4 linked regions of the Diceros bicornis minor genome follow. The protein of the gene in region 1 interacts with the protein of each later gene in a pairwise test. Links are inferred from orthologs where the notes say so. Each region holds a gene or a part of one and is shown on either strand. Other genes may lie near its edges.

Region 1 (8,014 bases):
TGATCTTTTTTTTCCTTAAGAATTGTAGTAGCTTTTTATCTCCTTCTCTTGCCTTCAGTCTTACTGGGCTATTTTCAAATTCTCTGCATTCTTTTCCTTATAAGGAATATCTCTCCTTGATCTATCAGCGGCTCTTTTGAAAAAACTAAATAAACGTCCTGCTGGAGAATTTGGGGGAGACAGACATCCTCCATTTAGCCATATACGGAGCAGACATCTGATCTACATTATACAAAGCAGGCACAGAGTTATATGTGTTTTTTGGCTCTTTTTCTAAAGCCAGGTAGTTTGTAACTTAAATGTTTTAGCTAAATCAGTGCTTCCCTGAACCCCCTTTCCCAGGAATCTTGATTTTCACTGAAAATTTCTTTTTGTCAGATTCTAAATGTCCTATGTCTGGATTTCTCATTTACAAAGCACACTTGGAAATTACATTTCAAGCCTTTCACGCCACAAAAAGCCTGTACTGATTTCAAGACCCAAGACCCTCCAGCAATTTGCATTTTACTCTCATACAAAAAATTCTGCGGTTGAACTTGGTAGTTCAACTTCCGGGCATAGCTTTCCCGGGTGCTCATGCATTCTTGGAATTGTTATACCAACTTCCCAAGGAATTCTTGCCTAATTGGGCCTCTAGGCTTAATTAGCTTCTGGAATGGAATCCAACGGTGTGAGAGGAAGTCAGTCCTTTGGAAATCTAATGGTTGGCTTGACTTATTCAGCAGAAGAGGCCAGCTCTTCAGCGAAAAAGATTCCAAAGGGCAGTGGACAAAGTGCTGGTAGAGCTTTGGCGGCCTATGCATCACCCCTGAAACTATGCGGTGGTTGTCAGAGGGCTGACAGGTGGGGGTGGGGCGAGCAGGAAGGGCAGGGGGCAGCGGGCTCACTATACCATATAAAGCACTGAGCTATATATAACTCCCAGCTTACTTTCTGGATCTGGTGCCCTCAGACTGCAGACCCAAGCAAGTATCATCTTCCCAGGCAGATCTTAAGGGGTGGATTAAGACTTCCCTGGTGAGAAAGGAGGCCTCAAGTGTCTCTCTGCCCCACCATCAAGCTCGGTCTTCTGAGTAAACCTAGCACCATGCCATTCCTTCCATCTAGAGGCCAGGCCCTCTGGATCCTGACTAGACCCACCACTGAAACCCAGGCCTTCCCATCCACCAGACATGGCAAAAGGAAAGAGAGGAAAGAAAACTAGGCATTCTGTCTGCACAAACCTTGGTGATGACACCTCAGAAGTTTTCTGCCACCAGGGAGGCAAGGTTCACCTCCAAAGTCCAATTTCAGCTGCTCTATGCTCCCAGCTTCTCACCCACCCACCTCCACCCCCAGGGGTGGGGAGAAGGAAGGAGGAAAAAAGAAAGAGGAATGGATGAAATATAAATGAAGGTGTGCAGTAGCAGTCCCAGGCAGCATCCAGTGCTCTGAGCCATGGCGAGGCTGTGTGCAGATGTCCAGCAGGAGGAGGTGACCCTCCTCCATTGCTCTCTGGCCCGTGTGGTGACCCCGGAGTGACTACGCGGGGCAGGAGGTGAGGGAAGCAGTGTGTGCGTGCACTTACGTCGGTGGCCTTTTTCTCCGCCAGCTCCAGCTTCTCCTGGGCATCTTTGAGAGCCTCGGAGTATTTGTCCAGTTCATCTTCGGTGCCCTTGAGTTTCTTTTGCAGCGACACTAGCTCATCTTCCAGCTGGGAGTTGGCCGTGGGGGACGGGAGGGGGGGTGGGGGGGTGGGTGCAGCAGGCAGCGTGATCCCGCAGGGGAAGGGTGTGGGTGCACAGAACCAGAAGGACAGGGACAGAGGGAGAGAGAGAGGGAAAGACAGGGAGGGAGAGAAAGAGAGAGAGACAGAGTTAGCCATTCGTGCGCCGCACCGCGCCGCGCGCCCCGGGTACCTTGGCGGCGGACTCGTCGGCGGCCAGGAGGCTGTCCTCCGCCTTGTGCAGCTCCTCCAGCACCCGGTCCCGCTCGTCCTCCGACGCCCGCATTAGCTTCTCCATCGCCGCGATGTCCTCCTCGAGCTGGGGGCAGCGGCGGGCGGGCGCGGGCGGCCGGCACGGACCGGGTGTTAGACACACACACAACACAAGGGCGCCGGGTTGGCTGAGGGCCCTCGGGCTTGGGGCGCCACCGAGTTGGGACTCAAGGGTCCCTGGGTAACCTCCTCTCGCTCCGAGCTGGAACCGCACCGTGGCCCACCCCGCACCTCCACCTCCCCCGGGAGGAGACTCCTGCTGAGGCCTCAGCGGGCTCAAGTCCACAACTTGGGGGCGCAGAAAAAGCCCCTGTTTCCCTATCTTTCGGGCCGCACTCTCTATTCTGTCCTATCTTTGTTCTTAGGAAAAAAATCCATGACTTCCTCCCCTCCCCCGTCTCTATCCCAGTTGAAGTTTATATTCTCCCCAGTCAAAAGTCCAGAAGAACGACTAACACTTTCTGGACTTGATTCCCTTCAACCCCTCAACCCTACCGACCCCCCCATCCAAAATTGATTCCCGATGCTGAGGATCAAGTGCCTCTAGGACTTGGATTGACTTCGCGAGCTCTGGGACCAGAGAAGGGAAACAAGCGTCCTCAGACGAGACTAAAGAGTTAGAATAAGCCTGAGTCTTCTCTTCCCCTCCCCCTTCTTAGACGCGCGTCCCTGGCCGCCCAGGAGTAGGGGGTGGCCCTCCGAGTCCTGGGGGTGAGGGGCCGGGCGGGGGTGCCAAGCCCGGGTGCCAGGGCTCGGGGCCACCGGGCGGACGGAGCGCGCGGGCGCACGGGGGGCGCAGAGCCGGGGAGGCGCAGACCTGTTTGCTCCTGTCCTCCGCCGCCTTCTTATCGGCCTCCGCCTGCTCTGCTCGATCCAAGGCGTTCTCCTTGTCGAGCTTCAGCATCTGCATCTTCTTCTTGATGGCGTCCATGGTGGCGGCGGCGAGGGGCCCTGGGGCTGCGGCGGGAGCGGCGAGGCGAGAGCGCGGTGGGGCGGCCGAGCCGGAGTGCGAGCGCAGAGCAGCCTGCTGCTCCCAGATATGTACTTTCCCAAGGGGGCGACCGCATTCCTCAAGACAGCCAATACTTTTTTGGAAAAGCTTTTTTCTCCTGCCCCTTTTCCCCCTCCTTCCTCCGCCCCCTGCCCCCTCCCCGCTCCTCCCGCGGGGGCCGCTCGCCCATTCGCTGCCGCCTGCCGGCCTCCCAGTTGACGGTGGATATGTCTATATATGGGGACCGGAGCCGCCGGGGCGGCGGCCGGGTGAGGCCGCCCTGTTTCCAAACCTGCACGCCAGGGAGAGGGCACCGGGGCCGAGCCCGGGCCGGGGCGCTAACCTCTGCGCTGCGCGGCTCCTCCTCCCAGGGCGGACGCCCCGCCATCGAGGGCCCCAGGCGAGCCCGCCCTGAGCCACAGGAGGCCGGGGCAATAGGGCAGGTAGAGGGTGCGCGTCGCCCCCCTGAGCCGCCAGATCCCGGCGCGCACAGCATCAGGCCCCGAGGCCCCCAGCAGCCGCCCCACTCGGCGCCCGGGCCTGCGCGCTCCCTGCACTCGCCCAGCGCTTCCCCGGCAGCTCTCCGCTTGCCGGGTGTCATCCGGGCGCTCACTCTGGAAACTCAACCGGAGCAGAGAAAGGACGAGTTGGGAGGAAGTTCTGGGGGCCCCTCCTGAGACTTTCTCTGCTGGTGCGGGTCAGAATGTCTGGGCATCTTTCTGCGTGCCCTTCCTCCAAGGAGAGGAACAGTCGAATATTTTAGGGACACAGGACTCGGCTTAGTTCTGCTTTTGCCTGTGTGTGGTGCTTCTGCAAAGGTGCTTGTGTGTGTGCTAGTGTGTCGGTGTGGGAATTTAAGGGGAAAGAATATTGAGTGTAGACTCAGGCAACTCAGTCTTTGGTCTCCATCATCAGCAGCTGTGTGACCTTGACGCATGGCCTCGGTGCTGCAGTTTCCTCATCTTTAAATCCCGGGGGGTAGATGATCCCTGAGGTGCCTCCAGATCTCACTTTTTATCATTTTTCTTGCACTGATTTTAGGGAGTCGGCCTCTTTCCATGTTAGGTGCTCAGGTACCAGGTTGCCAAAACGTGGGATAGATGTTACCCCAGCGAAGTCACTGTATCCACAGCCATAACCAGGAGAAGCGATCAGGCCAACTCTGTACAGACTGTGAGACTTCAAGCTCTGCTTGAAGGCAGGAGGATTTCCCTTACATCTCTGACTCCTCCCAGCCCCCAGTGGGGAAAAGCTTGCTCTTTTCAGAGCTTTGGTGGGAGGGGAAGAGAAGGGGCCACCCCAAGGCTCTGCCTGAGACTGGCTGCAGCAGAGTTGGTGAGGGTCTTCTTCACCCTCCCCAGAGAATAATTCACAACCTGTACTACATGGATACTGAATATTCCCTGGGCAGTATCTGAGTAGATTAGGCAGGTCAAACAACTTGTAAGTCCTTCAGAGAATAGTCAAGTTCCTCTCCAGGATTTTATCAAGTTTCTTCCACTAACCTAACAGCCCAGGAAGGAAAAGATACCCTGACCTAATGGTCAGAACATTAGATCTGTGTGCATAGGGGCTGTAGGGCACAGAAATTCACCAGAACCCCCCACCCACAGGAGCACTAACAAAGTTCAAGGCCTATGGGCTTGAACAGATGCATGGACCACAGGGAGCTGATTCTCCAGCTTGGAGCTCAGGACAGGGGGCAAGAGTAGGGACTCAAGAATTAGACCCTGGGATCCAAACCTGGCCTGGCCACCTCTTTGCAATGCGACCGTAGCCATGTTACAATCTCTTTAGGCCTCAGTTTTCTCTTCTGTAAAGTAGGTGTAAAAATTCTTCCCTGTTAGAGTTGTTACAAGGATGACAATGCAATAAAGAATGAAAAGCATTTTGTCTAGCACATAGCAAAGTGCTCAGTAAATTACTGCTGCTTGAGTGGCAGAGGGCAAGTTGTTTCCCCTCTCTGGGCCTCAGTTTTCTCATCTATAAAATGAGGCAACTGAACTAGAGAAACTCCTGGAGGGATCATATAATATTGACTTTTCTCCACTGTGCCTAACATAGCAGAGCAACTTGTTAAATTTTCCTTAAATGAACTGGTGCTACAGACAATTCCTCAAACACACCATTGGTGAGCATCTGCTCTATACCAGGCAGGCACTAGGCTCTGGTATCCCCAAATGAGTAAGACACATCCATGCCCTCCACGTGTTCAGCATGAGCAGGGGTATAAGAACTCAGAGGAGAAAGAAATAGAAATGACCAGTTCGGAGCAGACAGAATAAACTTCTCTGAAAAGTGCTGGTTTTTAGACTGATTTTAGAGGAAAGGTAGCAGATAGAGAGGAGGATACTGTATGAGCCAAGGGAAGAAAAAGGAATGTTTGATGGTGGTTGGACACTAGGTTTCCTTGGGGGTGAACTGGGACATGAGACTGGAAAGGTAGATTGGGGGCATATGGTAAAGGGACTGAATTCCGGGTTCAGACGTTCAGGTCTTATTGTTTGGGTTGAAGCCAAGCAGTCTTCTTCCCCTCCCTGCCCCTCTCACCCAGAGTTATGTTCAGAGGATGAAGACTGTGGTATCCAAGGGTGGAAATGGAGCTACACAGAGCCAATTTTTTAAATCCCTTGGTACCACATCATTGATCCCTAGATTGATGGGTTAACATAGCAGGTCCCTGGACTGAATCATTTCCATTTCGCCACTGTTGAGATTCTGCCCTATGAATAGCCTGACAGCCAGCCAGACCCAACCCAGCTTCATGGACTGCACCATCCATGACCTTTCTGTTGTGTAGGGCTAGGACAAGCAAAACATCATGACTTACACAATTTCTTCTGTACTGGACAGATCTCCTGGTCGCTGGATAGGATCAAGAGGGGTGGGCTGGACAGCCGCGTGCTGTAGTGTATATATCCCTCTTGCCCAGCTGACTGGCCATGACTCATGGACAGACCCAAAGGCTAACCAGAGACCTAGTGCTGTGGTCTGTCAGGCAAAGATGGACTAGGCCACTCAGCTTCTCTCTCACTGTGGTTTGAACTAAGGAATGTGGAAAATATGAATCATCAGCTGTGGCTGCTGAAACAAAAAGTGTTTGCAATCTTGGGCTAGAGATGCCTTGAATGAGGGTGATTAAGGCTATTCACAAATATTTGGGCTTTCTCCCCAATCAGGGTCTTGGTAGGATTATACATCTTCACCCAATTTAGTTAGGTGTGGTCATTTGACTTGCTTTGGCCAAGGAAATGTGAGCAGAAGTGATTTATGGCGGACACTTGAAGAGTTAACACGTCTCACTATGTTCATTTTTCAAGATTCTTGCTGCTCTGTCATTCTGGGTTCCCACGTGGCTATGGTAAGCAGAGCTCCCCCTCTCCTCCCAACTAACCCTTGGTGGACATGTAGCAAAAGAGAGATATAAACCTTTGCTATTTTAGGCCACTGAGATTTGGGGGTTGTTTGTTACTGAAGTGTTACTAGCATCTCCTGCCCTAATTCAGCACAACAGGTCATATATCACCCCAGTTATGAGGAAGCAGAGATGTCTGGTTATAGAGAAAGGAGGATGGAGCAGACATGTCAAGATAAACAGAAGCACCACTGAGAGAAAGAGAAGGGAGAATATGACCAAATTTCAGTGCCAGGAGTCCTTATAATAACCCCCTTTCTTTCCTGAGGTTACATGAGAGAGTCTGTGTTCCTTGAAATTAAAAAAGCTGACCGAATCACGGTGACATGGGAGCCTGCACAACATCCTTGGTCCAGAGCTTCTGTGTGAACATCAAGAATGTCTGTGGAATTTCCAGGAGATTTCCGTAGTGCTTGGTATTCAGTCATTTCTCAGTAAATGTTTGTTGAATGACTGTTTATTGGCTATTAGCCATACAATTAAGTAGGAGAAACAGTATCTGGGAAGGAAAGATAACAAAACTATGCTCAAAAGACATTATTTCCATTCAAAATATGGATTCTATGTTTTATTTTCTGAAGTATTGTGATAGAGTAGGACAAATATTTACTGAACACCTTTTGTGTGCCAGGCATTTAACTAGAGTTTATGGGATCAAGGAAGGTGGATAAGAGACCTGGATCTTTTCCTCCAGGATAAGTATTTATGTATGACGTGGGGTAAAATCCTCTCTCTGGGGGTCATTTAATGTGAATTTCCAACCACATTACCATTGACCCAAATGCTGCCTGGGCCCCCCTATAGCTGCGAGGATCATGTATCTCAGGTTTTCTAGGAGAGCTTTAACATTAAATATACTGTCCCTTCCTCTCATAAGAGCACCCATACTTGCCATACTACATTTTCCAATATTTGGTTAGAAAAGACAATCAACATGAGCAACAAGTGTGACGCCTTTAACAAGAAGACTCACTTGACTATGTACATGAGGGTTTGTTTGTTTAAAAACAAAAACAAAAATAAACTCTTATTACCTGATAGTCACACCTTGTTTAACAGCACTAGCTCTACCCGTGTACCATGACTCCCCCAGCGTCAACAGTGCTGACTCAAGCAATTATGGGAACGTGGAGAATCTATAATTAAATTGAGAGACAATTGCTTCTTCCACTGGGTGTTGGAATGCAGCGTGTTATGCTCACGGCTCATTGTCTCATGGAACAAGATACAGCCTGTTCTCCTCATACACAAGGGATCTTTCTTTCTCAAGGTTTGTGATGCTACCATCAAGCACCCAAGGAAAGTATGCTCTGCTTTCAGGGAGGGTTTGGAGCTCTGAGAAAGGTCTTCAGGCCACTGTGGATGCCTTTCTTCATTTAGTGACCATCTTTCATTGTTTAGAGGTCCCTGAGTATGCTTGCTACCTGGAGGGTTGGCACAGGCAAAATGGTTCTCCCAGTACAGAAAAAGACAATAAGTTAGTTCTGCCTTATATCTTATCTTCTGTTTTTCAACAGGAGCAACTATGTATAGATTTAATCAAGCTGACTTGTGGTGGAATTTAGCTGTCTCAAGAATAGCAATATTCCTTATTTATGTAAAGTCTAAAAAGCACTTTCAAGTTCATTAT
Region 2 (6,887 bases), on another chromosome or scaffold:
TTTAATGGTTTCTAACATTGTGAAATTTTGGGTTGTACATTTTTGTTTGTCCATCACCCCGTATATGACTCCCTTCACCCCTTGTGCCCACCCCCCACCCCCACTTCCCGGGTAACCACAGTCCAGTTTTCTCTGTCCATGTGTTGGTTTATATTCCACATATGTTTTTCTCCGTTTCTTAACCATCAGTAGTAAACTGTCTATTCATCTCCTTTCCCATGCAGATTTTAAAGCTCATAATCTTACGACAATTTAAATAACTCTTTTTAAATTTATTGATTACGGAAAGAATCCACATTCGGAAGTTATTCGAAATATGGAAAGGTCAAAGAATGAAAATCAATAAAGGCTAGAACTACAGGAAAATATCACCTGAGGAAAATCTTTCAGTTACTCAGTTCCAGAACCACAAAAAGTCCTTTTAAAAAAGAAGACATAAGCAAACAACACAAAGATGTATAGAATCATTTATAAAATACCTGTGGGTTACTACCTCCATTCAAGGTATAACCTTTGGTAAGTTTTCCAACACCATCATCCCAGTCCCAATCATCGTCATCATCATAATCCTCTTCCTCCTCCTCATCTTCTATCTCACCTTCACCCATCTTCTCATTCACATTACTTTGAAGGTCTTCAAATACAAAGTCATCTTCTTCTTTGATTGTCTTCAAGTCAAGGTTTTCACTAGAAATAACAATGTTTCAGCACGTTTAGAAATGCTCCAATTGGACAAACTTACGTATTTATTTATGATATAACAGAGTAAACCTACACCAACAAATCTAAAACGTTCCCTTACAACCAATCTCCCAATAAGCTCAATCTTCTTAATACCAAGTTCTCCAGTTTTTCAGAGTTCTGCTGGAGTTGTTCGCTTATTCTCCAGGTCCTACACTAAAGTACATCAGGTGTTGGATCTGCTTCTGCCCCACTGAAGTTACAATTTATATAGTTATCTTCTCTGCAGAATGAATTGAGGCAAGGGAAACTTCATTGAACTGGTTTAAGAGGGAAAAAAAGCTTTCTGACCAAAACTTGGGAATAAGTCTAAAGCAGCCTTACCTTGAACTCAAATACCACCTTGCAACAAAAGAAACTATATCAAGATTTGTCTTACACAAAGAATCACTCTTGTGCATGAAGGGAAGGAACAGTGAATACTTGCACCACAGATAAGTGACGTAGGCTGCATATAAGAAAATAGGAGAAGTGGGGATTGTCAAATCCAGAGAACAGGCAGCACAACTTATACGGTATTTTTTTTTTTTTTTTTTGCCATGTGAGAATTCAGACCTAGTGTTACCAGATCTTCTTAGCTTTTCAAGAAAAGCCAGAAACGTGGATTTTTGTGTAAAATCTCCCACTTAACTGGCATATCCAATTTTTATAAAACACTTTGCCTACCAAACAAAACACATTTTCAGGCCAAATTCAATAGCGATACTACCAATTTCGATCTCTCATATAGAGAATAAGGACAAAAACCATACATAAAACAAGTGATAATATGCACTACTGGCTTAAAAACAGTCAGACACGAGTTTAAGCAAATTTAGATATCAATCCTGACTTATTAATTAGCCATGGTCTAGAGGGCTAAAAATCTCCATGAATATGGGTAGGAAGAGAAAAAATAATCATTAAACACCTGCAATTTACTAGGATTTCATAAACATAATCAATAAATTGCCAAAAACCTAGAGGGGCATGTTAAAGTTACCCCTTCATTTATACCAGGGCTTCTCAACCTCAGCCAGACAATCCTTTGTTGTAGGCGGTTGTCTTGTGCATCCTAAGATGTTTATCAGCATCTCTGGCCCTACCTACCAGATACCACTTGTGCACCACCACCCCTAGTAGAGACAAACAAAAATGTCTCCAGAGATCGGCAAAAGTCCCCTGGACTGGGGGAGGAGGGGCAAAATCGTTGGTTTATCATCAGCATATCCAGCGATGGACAGTAAACCAGAGCATACTCATTGTTGTTAACTATTCACGCCACGCTGGCTGTGCTGCTTCTTTCCTCTTAACTTCTCTCCTAGGGGCTTCTGTACGCCCATCTGTAAATATAAACCTGGAATGCCCTTCTACTCCCTCTCATTTCTACTCCTTCCAGCAGTAGCTTACTATCAACTCACTCAGAGAGATCTTTCCTATTCGTCACCCATTTCTCCTTTGTATTATTTACCCAATTCTAATACAAATAATTTGTCTAACTATTTAATAAGTTTCCCTCGCTAGAGTGCAAGTTCTGTGTCAATCAGGGTGGTGTTTACCAATGTACCCCTACCAACTAACACTAGATCTGACACACAGAAAGGGATCAAGATATATTTATTGAAAAAATCTCCAGCTGACAGATAAAATCTATATGTAACAGATCTTTACTGTAAACATTAAGTAAAAACTGCTTTCTTGGAATTCTAAAATAACTGTTTCATTTTGCTTTTAAGTAGGAGTTATCCTTAATTCTTTCTGCCTCACATTCACATCCAATCTACTGCCAAACCCTCTCACTTCTACCTCCAAAACATATCCCTACAACTCTGTCTCTAGCTCCCATAATCTTTGAACTGGATGACTTTATTACTTTTGAACTGGTCTCTGCTTCCACTCTTGCCCTCCAAAACCATCCTCTCCATAGCAGAACGATTCCTTTAAACCATAAATCAGATGATGTAATTCCCCTGCTAAAATCCCCCTATGGCTTCCTGCAAGACCTAGAATAACATCTCAACTCCTTACCATCACTTGTGAGGCTACACATGATATGGCCCCTTCTCACTTCTATACCATTACCTACCAAGTTTCTCAACTACCTCCACTGGGCTGTAAGCACATTGGCCTCTAGATCTTTCTTTCACAGCCAGCCAAGAGGGATGCCACCGTTGGGCCTCTGCGCTTGCTGTTCTCTCCGCCTGAAATGCTGTTCCCTCTACTATTCCTGAGGTTAGCTCCTTCTTGTCATTTAGATCTGGACTTAACCCTTCTCTGACCATACACACGTAGTATATCAACCGCCTTTAATTACTTGCATAGTATATGTCATCTTTTTTTAATTTCTATGTATTTGTCTGCCCCCCCTCCCAAGTAGCGAGGGTAAAGTTCAATGACAGCAGGGACTTAGTCTGTCTTGTTCACCACTTTCTCCAGCGCCGAGGACAGATTCCGGCACACAGGAGGTGCTCAATAAGTATTTCTTGAATGCCTAACATAAAGCGCAAAAACCTGTTTCCCAGTCGCTATTCGTAACTCTGTCCCTCAGCGACGGTAATCGTCTGGGAACCCCGGACTCCCCTGACCAGAGGCTCTCATTACCTCTGCCATAACCCGGGGCGAGTCCCGGCTGGGATGGAGAAAGACTGAGAAGCCGTGGGGCGCGCCCCCGAGCGATAAACTACAGTGTCCCTCCACACCACGAACAAGCGTCAACTCCCCAACGGGGCGGCGGCGGCGGGGAGAGCGGAATCGGGAGAGCCGGTGTACTCCACGGCCGCCTACCTGTCCGAAGAGTCCGCGTCGTCGAACTGCCCAGGGACCACCCGACTCATCAGCAGCCGCCGGTAGTCCATGACGGACGCGCGCAGAGCCTCGGCGCCCGCGGAGGCCGCCCACCCGGCGCTGGGACAGGAACCGCACAGAGACGGTTATACCCGCGGCCGACCCAACCGCCTCTCCGTGGGTTTCCGCCTCGCAAGCCGCTCAGAAGCCCCCACGCCAAATCCGCGCGCCACGTGCTACGAGGGATCCAGACGAACAGCCCCAGCCTCCCGGCCTTCCCGACCGGAAGTCCCGCTCGACCGGAAGTTCCGCCCCTGCGCCGGGCGGAGCGCCCGCCGCTGGCGCCGACGGTGCGCTGAAGGGGCGCATGGGGGTGTCAGGTGGCCGTGTTGAGTCGCGTCCGGCGCTGAACCTGTGCCGGGCATTGTGCCCGGAGCTTTTGGTCTCTGCACCGCGCTTTGTGTTTCCTCCCGCAGAAGGACGCGACATCTGGCCCACAGGCTGTTGGGCCTGAGGGCTCACACCCACGTAACTTCCCAACGCTGGGAACAGAGGCTTCGAAGCCCCCAAGCCGAGCCCGCGGGGGGCGGGCGGACGTCACACAGGGACGTTCTGGCGCGCCCGCCTCCCAGCTGACAGCTTTTGAGAGTCCTCCGTGGAGAAGTCTGAGAAGCGTTCTTCCTCCTGCAAAACTCAGGGCGGAGGGAGGAAGCGTGAATCCTCGCTGTGGCTCCAAGCAACTCGATGGACCCTGGAAGTGAGCACACTTTTGCGACTTAAAAAGTTAAAAAGACATGAAGATCGTGGGACATTACAATCTCTTTTATTTTGTGAGAGTTTGGTGCCTTGTTTTGAGGTGACAATAAGATAAGTGCTTTTAAAAGTTAAAGTTTGACATACGACTGAAAACAATTTTTTAAAGAAAACCTTAGAATTTTTGCCAGTAACTCCAGTGACATCTCTTTTAATGCCCATCTTAAAACAGCTTTAGAGTGTCTCTGGAATATCTCTCCAAACACTTGAATATTTTAAAAGTCGAGCATAAATCTGGTAGGGACAGAATGAATGACAGAAAAAGTAAGCCTAACTTAAAAAAAAAAGTAAATTGGCGGATGTGCCATATGAACAAAGTTGTAAAATTATAATTGGATATTCTGGGTTTAACATTTAAGAAATAAGGCCCTTGCGTGTTTTTGCACTTGGAAAACACAACAAGGATTTTTGAGATCCCTGTTACTACAACCCAGCCAGCGTTTATCTGTTTGTAAGACAGAGAAAGTTGGGCTTTCCACCAATCCTAGCTAGCCTGGTTGGCTCACTGGCTTTTTTATACTTTACCGAATGATGATGTAGGTTTGAAAAAAATTAAACCTTAATAAATTATTTATTAATTCAATAATTAAATAAAATAATCCAGGCAAATGGGTAGTGGCTGTAGATTGAGAAGTTTTAATAGAAATAAATCATTGGAATGCAGGATTTATTCTATCAGTATTTACTCTGTGAACAACACCAGTCTATTTTCTGTAAGCGTTGTTGAAAAACCATAAATGGACTTCTCTCAAAGCATTTATAATCTGTAAATGCAAACACTAACATGCTGGACACAATGGTGAATGCTAAAGCAGTAAAATGAATCCATGCTGAATTATGAGATAGATGTTTAGACTGAAGACATTGTAGGAATTTAAATAGATGAATGGGTAGACGGGAAGGTTTTAGGAGAGAGAAGCACTCGCCAGGACAGACCGCTGAAGTGGTAAAGAGCGTCATCTATTTGCAGGGAGGTGAGCCTGATCTGACTAGAGCAGGGGAGTACTGGGTAGGTAACATGGGTTCCGGCTATGAAAGACCTAGAGAGTCAAGCAGCAGAATTTGAATTCAGTGTGATTGGACATCCTTTCCACTCCCATCCCCTGACAGACCTTAGGAGGTCACGAGAATGTGGACCAGTGTGATGAGATAAAGGGTGGAAAGAAAGCATGGGTTATGAGAAAATTTTTAAAGGAGAAATGGACAGGACTTGGTAACTGAGTAGCCCATGGATGATGAGGTGGAGGGATGCCAAAGATATCTCCAAGTGTTCAAACTCAGGTGTCTGAGAGAATAGGTATGGCATAGGAAAGTGAGGGAAAACTGATTTACAATGTTGGATTTGACTTGTTAATGAAATGTTTGAATAGAAAGTATCAAGTAAACAGAAATACACTGTTTTGTGGAACCTAATAGGTCTCTGATAATATTTTGTAAATCTTTTGATTAATTGAGAGATCCCTTCATCTTCTGGGTCCCAAGATTTTTAAGGAATTATTGGATAGCAGCCACACATATTGACTTGTTTTTGTCCAAATTAGTATTTACTACCATACAAAGGTATAATGGTATACTCAGACTAAAATTTTTAATTTTTCCAATAACTTGACATATACCATTTTAAAATTTAGGACAATGAACTTTGCTGCTTTCTTAATGTGAGGAGGGGTGGGGAAAAAAGCTTTCTGTTTGCATATACTAATAGACATTAAAATTATGTTTTTTTAAAGAGGCCTTCCATTATCCAACAGTTAGGAACAAGGACTGTCAAAAAGTTTGGTCATCACCCTCAGATCCTGTACATCTTAAAGTGGATGCTTCTCCTAAAAAATTAGAAAGCATGTCAGAAGCGGATGCCATGAATTTCAGCGGTCTTTCTCAAGACTTAACTCACTCAAATTCTCCCTTCTATGTGGAAACCAGCAGTACCACTTCAGACTTGCCTCAGGTGTGCATTGCTTACAAGTTCTGGGAGGTACAGATGTATTCAACCTTAACATTGTCTTGCATATGAAAATTTCTTCAAAAACATGAGAAACAATAAAAGAATCTCCAGTGGAAGCGTAAAGGAGGGGAATACAGGGTCTGGTTTTGCCAATTCCGTTAGTGTACAAAGAAAAGTAGAATTTTACAAATAGAGTGTTAAAACTGATCCTGTCTGGCCTCCTTGTGAAGTCCCAGGAGTGCAGCTAGGGACATGGTCACAACAACTGAGGCAGGAGAAGAGCCTAAGGGATCTGACATTTGGTCTAAAGCATCTTCCACTATGTCAGCATGGAAAGGATTCAAATGTCATTCATAATGATATTGACAGCACCCTGCATGTAAATGACTTCTTTCCTACCTTCAGGAAAGTTCCTAGTGTCCTTTCTCACAAAATAGAAGAAATTGTAATGTCCCAAGATCTTCATGAATGTTGTTCTAATGTTTGATAATTATTAGCAAGAGTGTAGGGAAATAATAGGAATGTATTAGGCTGTGCCATGTGAAATTGCCTTTTTGTAGCTCAGAAATGGGCAAATATTGACCATTTCATGTGGTTAGTCCATAAATTGGCATAACTTTCCTAA
Region 3 (7,823 bases), on another chromosome or scaffold:
CATCGTCCACGTTCACCATGCTCAGGATGCGGCTGCAGAAGACCCTTGAGGCCGAGTCCGGGGTGTCCATCTCTTCCTCCTCCTCCGCTGCCTGAAACAGGCAAGAAGAAAGAGTCTTCAGTCTGCACCAGGCACCAGGAGTTGGGACAGAGAGGAGGGGCTGGGAACCGCAAAGGCTGTTTGAACATGAGTCGGTCACGCCACCTGAGCCTCAGCTTTGTCACCTGGGAATTCGGGGGTGTTCTGAGAACTACAGGAGACCATACTTATAACTTGCACCCCAGCACATGAGAACCCCTTAGTCCCTCCCACCTCCATGGCTCCCACTCTCCATGTGCCCGAGGCCAGGGGAAATTTCCACCTGCATAGATCTGCCAGCCACCTCCCACATCCCCCTGCCTTGGCCCACTCCCACCACAGGGCCTTTGCACCTGCTGTCCCCACCGGTAGCACATGCATGGCTGCCCCCTCAAATCATCAGCACCTCCAATGTCTTCTCTCCCGAGGTCTTTGATGATACCCCGAGGTCTTTGATGATACCCCAACTCTGGTCACTCTTATCACTCTGCCTTGTTTTAACTGCTTCACTGCCACACCTCTTCCTGAAATTATCTCAGTTGTCAGTTGATCTGTTTGCCTGTCATCCCCACAGCAGTGTCAGCTCCAAGAGAGCAGAGACTTGTCTCTCTCCCTTGCTGCTCTGCTCCAGAACGTGGCTCATAGCAAGGGATGGCCAGAACTTTGGCGGAGGCTGACAGAACCTTTCAAACTCAGCCCTGATGCTAGACTTTTATTAGCAAATTAAAGCCAAGAATTTCAGGCACTCAGAGCCAGGCTGCGGGCCCCAGGTCCCCGGCACCCAGGTGACCATTCTGGTGGGTGGGGGCTTCCTTGACCATGCCAGGGCAGGAGGGGCCACAGCTTCAGCACTGACCCTCCTGGTTGGGGGGAGGGTTCAGGAGAAACCCAGAATCCTGACATAGTTTGATTCTGGCGTCCACACATTTAATGGCTGACAGAAAGGCCCACTTGTGACTGGTGAGAATTCACACACAGGATTAGCAAGGTCTTTCAGAGCTCACTTGATCCACCCTCCTCTTTACAAGGCACTAACGTCATACACCAGGAACTGTTATCATCCTTGTTTATATATGAGAACACTGAGGCTCAGGGACTGAGGAACGGGGCCACTGTCACACAGCCAGAGAACCTGAGTCACAATTCACATGCCCATGCTCTGCAGGATCCACAGAGGTGTGAATCTGAACAGGTGTTCATTATCCACCCATGACGGGACAGCTGCTGCTCTAAGCAGCTGATTCCTGCCAGACTTCTGATTTTTTCCAGGCAAAAAACAGAAATACGGGTTTTTTTTCCTGTGAAATCGCCTCATTTACAAATGTCAGCAACCAATATTTTTTCCCCCCCAAACACCATGTAGTCAAGTGTTATCTATTTGAGCCCTGAATCTGGCTAGCGATTTGCAGCCCCTACATGCCTTCTAGAAATAAGCTGCCATACCTGGTGAAACTCTCCTCATCCAATTATCGCCATGTTTATTGAGCTCCCACTATGTGCCAGGTCTGGACACTCACAGTCTCCGATTTTTGAAGAAGCATGATCATGTATAAACAGGACACTTGCGCTCAAAGGGCAGTCATGTGGCAGGACCCACAGCCAGAGCCTGACAGGTTCAGGGTTCTGGACCAGTGGGAAACCATTCTGCTGCAAAGTACAGCTCTTTCTCATCTCCAGCTGCCAGATATGAGGGCTGAAGGATTCAGGGCACACTCCCCACTACCCTAGCTGTCTCCCTCAGGAAGCCTTCCCTGACTAACAGCTAGTCTGGCCCACACACAGGGTGGAAATGACCCAGCAAGGGCTCTGGCTCCTGCTCCAAATACCTTTATGAGGGAAACACACAGACAGGGAGGCTGTGTGACCTTGGAAGAATCACCTCACCTCCCTGAATCGGTTTTCTCACCCAGAAAATGGGAATAACAAAGAATCAGCACTTCACAGCGCTATCTGTGGGGACTGAAGCCAATTGTGATAAGGATCTGGGCTGTTTCTTCAAAGGGAGTGGGAAGAAGTCCTAGGGCGGGGCTCAGGAATCAGCTTTATTTTTGAGGAAGATCAGCCCTGAGCTAACATCTGCCAATCCTCCTCTTTTGGCTGAGGCAGACTGGCCCTGAGCTAACATCCCAGCTCATCTTCCTCCACTTTATATGGGACGCCAGCACAGCATGGCTTGACAAGCCCTGCGTTGGTGCTCGCCCGGGATCCGAACCGCGCGCACCCAACCGCCTGCGCCACCGGGCCAGCCCCAGGAATCAACATTTTAACAAGGGCTTCCCCGGTGCTTCCAAGAATATGAGCAAACACTTGAATAGCACTTCATTTAATCCCCAACCCTCCCTATGAGGCAGACACTATCATCTCCGAAGGCAGCTAAGGCTCACAGAGGTGGACTCAGCTGCCCAAGGTCACATGGCAAGGCGGAGAGGCGCCGCCATTCCACCCAAGTCCTTAACAGAATTTAACTTGGTGGCACAAGCTCAGCAAAACGAGCGCGGAGGGGCTCGCATATCCCCTCACGCCCCGCCCCTGCAAAGTGGGGAAACAGGCCCAAGCAGACCAACGCCCGGTTCCGGGTAACAACACAGCACAGCCTGAACACAAGCGGCCCAAACTCCCGTGCCCCGGATCCGGCCCGCGGCTCCGCCCGCGCGTCCACTGCGCAGACAGGGAAACCGAGACCTGTGCGCAGGAGGGGTGCCCAGATGTGGCCAGCGGCGCGCCCCACCCCACAACAGCCCGGGGACTACACCCGACCCGGCCCGGCCCGGCTCCCCAGCGGCCTCGGCGGCCCCAGCCCCACCCCGAACTCGGCACCAGCGTCGGTGGCAGCGGCACCTGCACATCTGGCGGCCTTGCTCGCGCTTCCGGGATGGCGCCCGAGCCTCCGCGACGTCACCACGCACCATGCGTGCGAGCGCGGGTGGCGGAGACGTACCCGGGGCCGACTGGCGTGCGTGGAGGCGCGGCAGGAAGGGGTGGGGCTTAGACGCAACTCCTGTTCCCGTGTGCGCCACAACAAATAGCCAATCGAGCAGTCCCTCTCGCGCCTGCGTAGTTTCCTAAGCCCGGGCTCCCTGGCAGTCCGGAAGTGGGTGGTGGAGGCTGGGAGACGTCCTGTTTTATACATGGTCAAACTGAGGTCCGAGAGCGGCAGGCGCTTCCGCAAGGTCATATAATGCTTCAGTGGCCTGCGGTCGACCCAGACCCAGGTGTCTTGCTTTCCAGGCTGGGAATCAGATTCATCTGGGTTCAAAAATCCCTGCGTCGCTTTTGGTGACCTTTTTCTAGTCCAGGATCCCATCCAGGATCCCACGTTGCATTTAGTCGTGTCTCCGTAGTCTCTTCCACTCTGTGACAGTTCCTCAGTCTTTCCTAAATTTTCATGACCTTAATGCTTTTGAAGAGTACTGGTTTTGTAGAATACTCATCAATATGGGTTTATCCAGTGTTTCCTCATGATTAGACTGAAGTTGAGCAGTTTGGGCAGGAATCCCACAGAAGCGATGTTGTGTCCTCCATGCATGGTATCAGGAAGCACGGGATGTTGATGTGTCTCGTTATTGGTGATGTTGACTTTGATTACTTGCTTAAGGCAGTGTCTGCCAGTTTCTCAACTGTCCAGTTACTATTTTCCCTTTTATAATTAATAGGTATCTTGTGGAGAGATACTTAAGAGCCCATACAAATACCCTAGTTTTGGGGGTTTTTTTAAACATATTTTTCACCCACTAGTTTTAGCATCCATCTGTGGCTCTTGCCAGCAACAATGATTACTATCGTGTTTGCATAATGGTGATTTTTTTTTTATAATTTTTTTTTAATTTATTTTTTCCCCCCAAAGCCCCAGTAGATAGTTGTATGTCACTGCTGCACATCCTTCTAGTTGCTGTATGTGGGACGCGGCCTCAGCATGGCCAGAGAAGCGGTCCGTCGGTGCGCGCCTGGGATCCAAACCCCGGGCTGCCAGCAGCGGAGCACGTGCACCCAACCGCTAAGCCACGGGGCCGGCCCTTTTTTAATTTTTTTTTTAATTTATTTTTTTCTGGTGATTTTCTGTTTATTAATTTAATTATTAATTGGAATTCTACTGTAAACAAGAGCTGTCCATTCTCCAATTATGGATTTATTCAAGTATTTGTATCACTATGAACTTATGAATATTTATTTTATTCTGTGGATTATAGTTAACTTCTTTTCTTTTTTCCTTTTTTTTTTTTTTTTTGCTGGTAACATCCACTGCCAATCTTCCTCTTTTTGTATGTGAGCCACTGCCACAGCACGGCCACTGACAGACGAGTGATGTAGGTCCACACCCAGGAACTGAACTTGGGCCACTGAAGCAGAGCCTGCCGAACTTCACCACTAGGCCACCAGGGCTGGCCCAATTTCTATATTATTTATTTTTCTGCCTCTTTAAGTTAGCCCCTATGTCATTTTAATATGTCTGCACCTTTCTCTGAGCACTTCCTTACTTTTGGCACCACAAGATGTTCCATGCTTGCTTTGGAATATCTCTGGAGTCAGCCATTTCTCCAAAGAGCCTGGTACCTTTTCTTGGAGAATAGGATTTAGAAACCAAGATCTCGGGCCAGCCCCGTGGCTTAGCGGTTAAGTGCACGCGCTCCGCTGCTGGCGGCCCGGGTTCGGATCCCGGGCGCGCACAGACGCACCGCTTCTCCGGCCATGCTGGGGCCGCGTCCCACATACAGCAACTAGAAGGCTGTGCAACTATGACATACAACTATCTACTGGGGCTTTGGGGGGAAAATAAATAAATAAAATCTTTAAAATAAATAAATAAATAAAAGAAACCAAGATCTGGGTGCTGGCCATGCTCACTGCCACTGGGCTATCATTGCTTAGAGACCCTCTCAGCAGTCAGAGTTAGCAAATACATGTATGCCTGCTAACCCATGCACACACATTTATATTTACTTCTATATCTGTCTCCTTGTATATAAACTGAAAACTGTGAGTTCATACTGATATGAGGATGCATTTTTAAGTGAAGTAATCCAAGTTAAATGCAAGAACAAAATGGGGCAAATAGTAATTGCTCAATAAATGTTAATTAATTACCATTAGTTATTGAGGTCTTTTTATTTATTTATTTATTTTTGTGTGAGGAGATCAGCCCTGAGCTAACATCTGCCAATCCTCTTCTTTTTTGCTGAGGAAGACTGGCCCTGGGCTAACATCCATGCCCATCTTCTTCTACTGTATATGGGACGCCGCCACAGCATGGCTTAACAAGCAGTGCGTTGGTGCGTGCCTGGGATCCAAACCGGCGAACCCTGGGCCGCCGCAGCGGAACGCGTGCACTTAACCGCTTGCGCCACCGGGCCGGCCCCAGTTGTTGAGGTCTTATGATGTGTATATGTTATATATTGTATGTCTAATTTTTCTGGGTCTCAGTTTGTTAACTGGGTGATCACAGCATCTGCCTTTTAAGGTCGTTGAGAGCTTGGGAGATATTGAGAGCTTGGGAGATGCACACATGCTCTTAGGCACATGGAAGACTCTTTAAGAGTCCTGGAATTGGACATATGTGAGTTCTGATTCCAGTTCTGTCACATCCTAGCTGGGTGGCCTTGGGCAAGTGGTTTAACCTTATGAAATCATGCAGGTTAATTCCTTACAACAAGTCTTGGCCCACTGTAAGCCCTCGGTAAACCGAGGGTAGACTGTATTATTACTGCCACACTCTGCTGCCTTCATTCATTGAAAAGTTAATGAAGACCAGGATTCTTATATAGTCAGTTCAACAAACAGTTTTAAAAATTGTTCAGTAAACTCTCTAGCCACCCTTTCTAGGAGTGGCCCATATTCTGGGCATCCAGAGAGTACTCAATTCATGCCTAGCCCTGGAGGATGGAGACAGAGTCTGACACAGACACTCCCATCCCTAGGGGAACAGTGCTGGGCTAGAGGGAGGAGAGACTCAAGACTGAAGGAACCTGAAGAATGGGGTATGAGGACTCGTTTTGGGGACAAGGAATCAGGTACATCTGGATGGTTTTTTTGTGTGTGTGTGAAGAAGACCAGCCCTGAGCTAACATCCGATGCCAATCCTCCTTTGTTTTGCTGAGGAAGACTGGCTTTGGACTAACATCCGTGCCCGTCTTCCTCTACTTTACATGGGACGCCGCCACAGCATGGCTTAACAAGCAGTGTGTTGGTGTGCGCCCGGGATCCGAACCGGTGAACCCGGGGCTGCCACAGCGGAGCACATGCACTTAACTGCTTGCGTCACCAGGCTGGCCCCTGGATGGGGTTTTGAGGTAGGATTAGGAGTTTTCTAGGTGCTGACAACCATTCAGGACTGAGGGAATCACAGGAGCAAAGACAGGATGGTGGGAAAGCACATATCATGGACTCTATCTTTGTAAAAATTGTGGAGCTCAGTAAGCCAGGCGGCAGCCACTGCTGAGCGAGGAGCCGGGGCGGAGGCTGCTGGGAAAAGTGGAACCACAGCTCTGTCTGCAGGCTGCAGCAGAAGAGGCCCAAGCTGGAGAAATCAAGCTTTTTGATGGGTCCCTTGGGCTCTGTTGGAGGCCAGGAAACATTTACAAGGGTCCTGGAAGGGGTGGGGGTTGCACATCGGGCCAAAAGGGACTTGGCTGGCCTCAGATGTTTTGTGCACAGTGGAGTGGAGACAAGAAAATATTTCCCTCCTTTGTGTGTTCAAGGGAGAGGGTTGGAAGTGATGGGAACACTCAGTCAGCTCAGTGATGGGGCCACTGGTCTGGGGAAGGCCTAAGTCTGGGGACTGGAAGCCTTTCTTTTCAATTTTTTTGCCACTTCTTTTTCCTACATAACACTCATCACAGCTGCAAATTAGATACTTAACTGCATCATTCTTTGTGCAATATCCAGCTCCTTGGCTGGAATAAAAGCTCGGTAATGGAAGATACCTAACCCATACTGCCCTTCATCACTGTGACCTTGAACAAGGTAATTACCTTCTCTGTGCCTCAGTTTCCCCATCTGCAATATAAGGATAACCTTACCAAAACACATGCACCCAGTCCTAAAGAAAGCAAGAAAGCAGAGAGAAGAGCATAGAGCAGGTAGGACAGAGAAAAAAACACACAAGATGGCATATTTTAAGTCCAAATAGGTCCATAATTACATTAAATGTAAAATACACCAAATGCACCAATTAAAAGACAAAGATGGGGGTCTGGCCCGGTGGCGTAGCGTTTAAGTTTGCGTGCCCCACTTTGGTGACCCAGGGTTTGCAGGTTCAGATCCTGGGCGCGGACCTGCACACTGCTCATCAAGCCATGCTGAGGCGGCGTCCCACATGGAGCAACTAGAAGGATGTACAACTACAACTATCTACTGGGGCTTTGGGGAGACAAAAGGAAAAACGGAGGAAGATTGGCAACATATGTTAGCTCAGGGCCAATGTTCCTAAAAAAAAAAAAAAAATTTCCTCCTTCGTTTAAAAAGAAAAAAGACAAAGATGGGCAGACTAGACCAAAGAGCAAAACTCAACTCGATGCTGCTTATAGGAGACACATGTACAACATGAGGATACAGAAAGGTGGAAGATAAAGGGTGGAGCATTTAAAACAGGAACCAGGGGCCAGCCCGGTGGCGCAAGCCGTTAAGTGCGTGCGCTCCGCTGCAGCAGCCCGGGGTTCGCCGGTTCGGATCCCGGGCGCGCACTGATGCACTGCTTGGCAAGCCATGCTGTGGCGGTGTCCCATATAAAGTGGAGGAAAATGGGCACAGAT
Region 4 (7,100 bases), on another chromosome or scaffold:
GGACACATTTAGGAGGACGTGATTGGGACCCCCCCCAAGATCTCACCTTGGTTTGGGGCGCTCCTCTTCTGTTGGGGGGATACAAAGAGATAATTAGCAAGAGTTCATGGGGATGGGCTTGACACACCCAGAGAAGGGAACCCCCGCAAGCCTCAGTCCCCAGGAGCCCAGTTCCCTCCTCCTGTTGCTCTGGGGGGGGGGGCAGGAAAGGAGAAAAGGAGAGAAGGGAAATCAGGGTGGCCAGAAGGAGGAGGAGAATCACACGCATCAGATATACATTCAGAACTGGTGTGGGGATCCCCTCCCACTTTCCTGGGAACCCAAGGGTCCAAATCCCCAGACCCTCCTCCTTGTACATACCCAGAGCTCCTGCCCTCCTCCAACAAGACCTAGCAGTGCAGGGGGGCCCCAAACCTTCTCTTCTATCGGTGGCCCAGGAGCTGTGTTCCCAGTCCCCTCCCCCTTGGGGACACAGGAACCCGGACTCCCAGTGCTAGCCCCTTCTGCAACCTAGGCCCCAACCTTTGAATGTATATGGAGAAGAAAAATAACAGACAGGGTAGGGGGCGAAGATGAGGGGGGATGGGGTGGTGCCCCTCCGCAAACATCCAACCCTTCTGTAAGTATTCCTCCAGGCTGGGGAAGAAGGCTTGGGTGTCGGTCCCTTTAAGAAGGAAGGGAAAGGGTTAAAGCCGCTGCGAGGTGATTTTCCCTTCGTGGCCACCAGAGGGCGCGCGGGCGCTCCGGGGCTTAAAGGACCGGGCCTGGGGCGGGTTATGGGGGCGGGAGGGAGTCATCGCGGAGGTCAGGGCCCCCGAAATCGGTCTCGAGAAGCGAAGCAGCCGCGATTACCTCGCTCTGCCACCAGCTCCGGCTCCTCGGTGGCTGGGGAGGGGGCAGGAGGAGAAGCGAGGATTGGGGGAGCCGGGGGGGGGGAGGGAGCGGGGTGGGGGAGCGGCCACGCCGGGTGCGGGAGGGGGAGAGAGGGGAGAGAGGGGAGAGGCTGTTAAAGGAACTGAAGCCGAGGCCTTCGGGACCCCCGTGCCCCGCCAGCCTCCACCCCTGGACGAGTGTCCCCACCCCACCCGGGCCCGGCGGGGCCCCGCGTCCAGCTCCAGACCTGCTGAGGCCAGGGCCTCACCTTCCTCCTCCTCCTCGGCGGGGGCAGCCTCCTCTTCTGGAAGGGGCGGGGCAGAGAAGGGAGGGCGTTAGGAGCCCGGGGGGGCCGGGGGCGGCTGGGCCTTTATTCAGATGTGGGGGTGGCCAGAGAGCGGTCTTCGAGTCTCAGCTGGGCGGGGGGGACCCCTCTGGGCCTCAGGTGCAAATGGGCACCGTGCGCTTTTCCCATTGGCCGTGGGAGATTTCCTGGAAACGCTCCAGAGGGTGGGCGTCGGGCGGGGTGGGCTAACCCGCCTCTCTCCCCGGCTCCCTGCTGGGAAGGGGCCGCACCATCTCGCGCTTCCCATACGCTACGCGCATGGGTGTTCCCACCTCCCCAGGGCCAGCGCACCGTCCACTCACCTTCCGGCTGCTCCCTGAGGACCGAGTGGGAGGGAAAGAGGGAGGGGGAAAGTTAGATGCGTTGGAGGTGGGAGAGTGTCTCCTCTTCTCCAAACCCCCAGCCCCTCCCGCCAGCATCACTCACTCCTCATATTCCTGCTCTTCCGTTTCCGACATCCTGGTGTGACCTACGGACCACAGAGAACAGACGCAATGGGGTGGGGTCCAGAAGGAGGAGGGTGTTGGGGTCTGGACTCCTGGTCTGAGGGAGGAGGGGCTGGGGGCCTGGACTCCTGGGTCTGAGGGAGGAGGAGCTGGGGGCCTGGACTCCTGGGTCTGAGGGAGGAGGGGCCAGAGGCCTGGAGTGTGCATGAGGACAGGGCATTGGGAGGTGTGGCCCAGGCAGAGCCCCAGGCCTGCAGCCCCCACGCCCTCAGCACAGCTGTCATCTTTTGTCTTAGGACCTGTCCATGGGAACCTGATCTGAGTGGGGATTAGGAGAAGGTATTTGGGAAGGGACAGTGGCCTGAAGACAATAGCTGCCCCACCCCCAGGGGCTATTTTGAGGGGATGTCGCAGCCAGTGAAACAGAGGACATTTCCTAAGAAGGGATGGGGGGGCTTCTGGGAGAGTTAGTCCCCCCTCCCCTCTGGCAGGTCATCTTCCCACCTGTCTCCTTCCTTCACCTTCACCCACAGCCGTGGAGGGGGCAGGAGGCATGAGGGCAGCTTCTGTCCACAGACCTCATCCTGACCCCTAAATACTTAGAGCCCCCAGTCTCTGAGATCCCCCAGGCCCCAAGGTGCCCAGTTTGAGTCCCCCCAAATCTCAATAGCCATAGATCCTGAGACCCCAGTGTATGATGCTCTTGCTCTCTGAGGACCATTCTGACACTCTGGTTCTTGACTCTCCAGAGTATGGGCCGGGACACATCCCAAGATCTTGACCCCCCGGTATTGACACCCCCTAAATTCTGAAACCTCAAGATCATGAGACCCCAAAATCTGGATACCCCAACTCAGAGGCCCAGTTCATGACACTCAGAATTATGACACTCCAAATTGTGATGCCTCCAATCATAAGACCTCAGATCCTGAGACCTCAGTTCCTAAAATCCCAGATTCTGAGACCCACCCCCATCCTGACACCCAGACTCTTTGACGTCCAAGCCCAGATACCCCCAATTTCTGAGATTCCCTGACTCTGAGAGATCCTAAGTTTATATTCTGTTCCCCAAATCCTGGCACCACCGGATCCCGTAACACCCAAATCCTAACACTTTCCCTTCCATTCTTAGTCCCCCTAAAGTCTGAGCCTCTGGAATTCCCAGACCTTGATTTTCCTGCCCCCTCCTTCCCCATACGTATTCTCCACACCCCTCATCTCCCTCCCCTCCTGCCCCTCCCCCAAGGGCACCGCAGGGCCAGGGCCCCTTACCTAAGACTGGGTCTGCTGAGGCGGTAAACCGGCGGGGGCAGAGTCTTGCTGGGCCCCACTGAGGCACCCCTGGGTTTATAGCTGGAGGCTCAGCCCCGCCCCCAGGAGGGAGATGGAGGGGGGAGATGGAGGGGGGAGAGGGAGGGGGGAGAGGGAGGGAGAGAGAATGCCTTTCCCCAAACCGGAGTCCCCAGTCAGAGGCTGCCCTGCCCCCACTCAGGCTCCACATGGCAGGATCCAGGCACCTGCTGGCTGCTCGGACCCCCCTCCTCTGCCCCATCAGCACCTCCTGGAACCCTGGGCTGGGTCCGGGGCTCCCCCCTCCCTTACAGCACAGGGCACCCTGTGCTTTGAAGTCCCCATGCTCAGCCCACAGTAGGCCCTTGGAGACTGCTTATTGACTAAAGGGGGACAAGGGACACTTTCTCTTTGCATGGCTCTTGTCACTTTTTCTGTGTCTCTCTGGCCCTCCACCTCTCACACCCTGTTTCTCTGTCTCTATGACTCTCCGTCTGTGGGTCTCTGTGCATCTCTCTCTGCTTCTCAGGCTCCCCCCTCTGTCTCTGTCCCTCTTTGTCTTCTCCTCCCCACCCCCACCCCTTTGTCTGCCACCGGGATTCCACCCTGGTGACAACAGGCACTAAAGCTGGGAAACAGGTGTGTGTCGGGGGAGGCGAGAGGGTGGGGTGTCAGCCCCGCGGGACCTCACCCCCCACCTCCATCTGACACTGGTCTGTTTTGGTATCCCTCTCCCCGCTTCCCTGCCAAGCCGTGACCTTGAAGGGTGGGGGAGCAGGCCCTGGAGAGCGGGACTCCTCGCCCTCCCTGCCTCTCTCTTGCTGTCTCTGTCTCACTGTCTGCCATCTCTGTTTCTGTCTTCTATGCATTTCTCAGCGGTGTCTCTTTGGCTCTCTGTTTCAGACTCTCTCTGTCTCTCTCTGTCTCTGTGTTCTTCACTCTGCATGTCTCTTGGCATGTTTTTGTCTCTGCGTCTCTGCCTCCCTCAGGGTCTGTCTGTTGGTGTCTGTGTCTCCTGGTCTCTCGTGCATGTCTGTCTGTGACCCCAGTTCTGTCTCTCTGGCTCTGTGTCCATGTCTCTATCTTTCTGGCTCTTTCTGGGGGTCTCTCTTTGTGTCTCTGCAGTTGTTCCTCTTTGGTCCCTGTTTCTGTCTCTGTAGGGTCTCCCTTGTCTCTGTCTCGCTGTGTGTATCTGTCTCTCTGTTTTCCATTTCTTTGCATTTCTTTCTGTGATTCTCTGTCCTTTTCCCCCTCTCTCCTTGGGTCTCTGGCTCTGTGTAACTGTCTCTGACTCAGTCTGTCTGTCTGTGTCTCTGTCTCTCTTTGGGCCTTGGTCTCGGCATCTCTGTGCAGCCCGCGTGGAGCAGAGGAGCCTAGAACGCCCCATATTGGAGACCCAGCTCAGCTCCTCGCGTGTGGTGTGGCTTTCGGGGAGCTCTGCCCTCAGGTCTCCCATCTCTGTCACCCCTAAGCCCCCGGGTAGGAGACACGCAGCCACTCCCAGCTCAGAGAGAAGCTTTATTCCTCAAGGCCATCCTCAGGGCCAGAGCGGTGGGCAGGCCAGCTCAGCCCTCAAACTTTTTCTTGCGGCCCTCCATTCCGCTTAGCGCGTCGATGTTCTTGCGCCAGTCTCCCACCTCCCGGTTTTCCTGGGGGAATAGAGTCAGAGGTTAGGGTCTCTTCCTGGTCCACAATCTCTCGAATATCCTCCAGCTGCCCTCCAGCCTGCTGGGCTGCTCTATTCTGGACGCCTGTCCCAGAACCTGGTTCTGGAACACGTCTTGTCCCCTCAGACAATCCCTTCCAATTTGCCCCATGCACTTCCTGTCTCCCTCCTGCACTTCCTGTTTCCCACATGCACTTCCTGTCTCCCTCCTGCACTTCCTGTCTCCCACATGCACTTCCTGTCTCCCTCCTGCACTTCCTGTTTCCCACATGCACTTCCTGTCTCCCTCCTGCACTTCCTGTCTCCCTCCTGCACTTCCTGTCTCCCTCCTGCACTTCCTGTCTCCCACATGCACTTCCTGTGTCCCTCCTGCACTTCCTGTCTCCCACATGCACTTCCTGTGTCCCTCCTGCACTTCCTGTCTCCCTCCTGCACTTCCTGTCTCCCACATGCACTTCCTGTGTCCCTCCTGTACTTCCTGTTGAGGACCCTTACCAGATACTTCTCCCCACCACTCCAAGCACCATCTGCCCTCAGGACAGGCCCTGGCATTGTCACCTCCCACATCCTCGCCTCTAAGCACCCCCTTTCCTGGCCCTCGCCCCACTCACCTTCTCTGTATCCTCCTTCTTCACCTGCTTGAGGTGGGCCCGCAGGTCTAAGGTCGCCTTAGCCCTGGCCCCCAGCAGCGCCTGCATCATGGCATCCGCAGAGATCCGCACCCTCCGCAGGGTGGGCCGCTTAAACTTGCCCCGAAGGTCAAAGATCTTCTGGGTCAGATCTGCGATCTGGGGGCAGCCATAAGAGGAGGTGGAGACTCCCCTCTGCTTCCCCTTTGCCCCACTCTTCCACCCTAACTCCCCTCCTATCCTATCCAGGCCGCATCCGGGCCCTCCCTAGCTCAACCACCTTTGGGACAAAATCTAAGCTCCTCATTCCGGAACTGGAAGTCCTCCCGGAGCTGCCCCAGCCTCATCTCTGAAAACCACTGACTCATCCCAGTCCAGCTACCTGCATCTCACAGTTCCCCGGCCCATACCTGAGCTCATTTACCAACACTTCAGCTCCAGCCACACATGTCCACAAGCATATTCCTACTGTTCCACCTCCTGGTTTTTGCACGTGCTGTTCCCTCTGCCTGGTACAGCCTTCCCTGAGCATACTGTACTCATCTTTCTGCCCACTCCCTGTCAGACTCACAGACTTGTCCTGGGTCTCCTGGTGTCTGCAACCACAAGCAGCTGCCAGGGGGCAAGCTGAGACCACAGCCCCAGGCATTGCACCCTACCCTGAGGGGACCCACACTGCCCAGTGCCTCCCACCTCCGTGATGTTCTTGGTGACTTTCGCCTCCACGTCGTATCTCTCCTCATCAACCTTGTCCACGCGGGCATGGAGCTGTCGGCACAAATCCTGGTGGAGGAACGGTGGCGTGTGTGGGGCGGGGAAGGCTGGGGACCCAGACTGCTGGGTCTGTGGGAGGAGAGGCTAGGGGCCTGGACTCCTGAGTCTGAGGGAGGAGGGGCTGGGGGCCTGGACTCCTGGGTCTGAGGGAGGAGGGGCTGGGGGCCTGGACTCCTGGGTCTGAGGGAGGAGATTGAAGCTGGACTCTGGGGAACTGTGAACAAAGCAGCACTCCAGAGCCAAGAGTCCTGAGAATCCGACAGAATTCGAGTTGCAGGAACCGACTTCTAGGTTTTGAGACTGTAGCCCTCAAGCATGGAGCTGCAGGCCATATTTCTGAACTCCCGACGTAAGGTTTAGGAGATTGGACCGCAAGGTCCTGAGCAGAAGGGGATAGTGCCTATACTCCTGAGTCCCAAGGATGCAAGACCGGAGAGTAGGAATCTCAGACCCCGGGCTGAGAGAGAGTCCCTGGTTAGAACCGGTACCTGCAGCTCCTCGAAGCCCAGCCCGGCCAACTCCAGAGGCTGGCACCGCGTGCTCAGGGCCCGCCCCTTCTCTCCACGCCGCTCCTCCGCCTCCCGCTCCAGCTCCTGCTTCGCAATCTGCAGCATCAGGGTCTGCGGAGTGGACCACCGCCCACCCGGGGGTAGCGGGATGAGGACCGCGCTCTCGGGGAAGCTGCTTCCTCCCGCCCCGCCCTCGAATCCCAGTCCCGTCCTTCGCCTTAGAGACCCGTCCCCTCGAGGTCCACCATTCCAAGGCCACGCCCCTCCCGTAGGTGGGTCCCCGCCGCAAAGCCACGCCCCCAGGAACGCACCACGCCAAGTCCCGCCCACTCGCACGCCCGAAGCCCCACCCCAACCTTCAAGCTCCGCCCCCCCCGAGGACACCTAGGCGCCCTCTCCAGGCCCATCCGCACCTTCAGCTGCAGTTTTCTCGAGGCGGAGATCTTAGACTTTTTCTGCCAGGGTGACACAGAGCAATGAAGGATCAGAGACGGGGTTCCGAAGGTGAGCAGTGGGAGGGACTTCAGAGCAGCCCCCCCTTCCCCCCCCCGCAAGCCAGGTCCAGAT

Evidence for each region.
Region 2: the proteins of TPM1 (region 1) and CAGE1 interact in binary tests that used the Homo sapiens proteins (3 or more experiments, as listed by UniProt). The two-hybrid records come from large-scale screens. The link is inferred for Diceros bicornis minor from reciprocal best matches to the Homo sapiens genes TPM1 and CAGE1.
Region 3: the proteins of TPM1 (region 1) and KXD1 interact in binary tests that used the Homo sapiens proteins (3 or more experiments, as listed by UniProt). The two-hybrid records come from large-scale screens. The link is inferred for Diceros bicornis minor from reciprocal best matches to the Homo sapiens genes TPM1 and KXD1.
Region 4: the proteins of TPM1 (region 1) and TNNT1 interact in binary tests that used the Homo sapiens proteins (3 or more experiments, as listed by UniProt). The two-hybrid records come from large-scale screens. The link is inferred for Diceros bicornis minor from reciprocal best matches to the Homo sapiens genes TPM1 and TNNT1.

Annotation. Positions count from the first base shown.
Region 1 is NC_080744.1:57,612,723-57,620,736, reverse strand, and holds the start of TPM1 (tropomyosin alpha-1 chain), read right to left. Parts: upstream 3,019-8,014; 5' UTR 2,910-3,018; coding exon 2,796-2,909; intron 2,025-2,795; coding exon 1,899-2,024; intron 1,694-1,898; coding exon 1,568-1,693; intron 1-1,567. UniProt on the Homo sapiens protein: Binds to actin filaments in muscle and non-muscle cells. Plays a central role, in association with the troponin complex, in the calcium dependent regulation of vertebrate striated muscle contraction.
Region 2 is NC_080753.1:58,996,665-59,003,551, forward strand, and holds the start of CAGE1 (cancer-associated gene 1 protein), read left to right. Parts: upstream 1-3,872; 5' UTR 3,873-4,248; coding exon 4,249-4,261; intron 4,262-6,047; coding exon 6,048-6,265; intron 6,266-6,887. Other genes in the region: RIOK1 (serine/threonine-protein kinase RIO1), read right to left, coding at 480-687, 3,505-3,575.
Region 3 is NC_080759.1:6,173,877-6,181,699, reverse strand, and holds the start of KXD1 (kxDL motif-containing protein 1), read right to left. Parts: upstream 3,010-7,823; 5' UTR 2,917-3,009; exon of another isoform or gene 2,882-2,916; intron 2,767-2,881; exon of another isoform or gene 1,522-2,766; intron 92-1,521; 5' UTR 71-91; coding exon 1-70.
Region 4 is NC_080773.1:33,187,532-33,194,631, forward strand, and holds the start of TNNT1 (troponin T, slow skeletal muscle), read right to left. Parts: upstream 3,002-7,100; 5' UTR 2,938-3,001; intron 1,748-2,937; exon of another isoform or gene 1,689-1,747; 5' UTR 1,678-1,688; coding exon 1,646-1,677; intron 1,536-1,645; coding exon 1,522-1,535; intron 1,178-1,521; coding exon 1,142-1,177; coding exon of another isoform or gene 1,121-1,141; intron 886-1,120; coding exon 853-885; intron 665-852; coding exon 614-664; intron 69-613; coding exon 47-68; intron 1-46. Other genes in the region: TNNI3 (troponin I, cardiac muscle), read right to left, coding at 4,521-4,604, 5,233-5,409, 5,944-6,033, 6,513-6,644, 6,947-7,100. UniProt on the Homo sapiens protein: Troponin T is the tropomyosin-binding subunit of troponin, the thin filament regulatory complex which confers calcium-sensitivity to striated muscle actomyosin ATPase activity.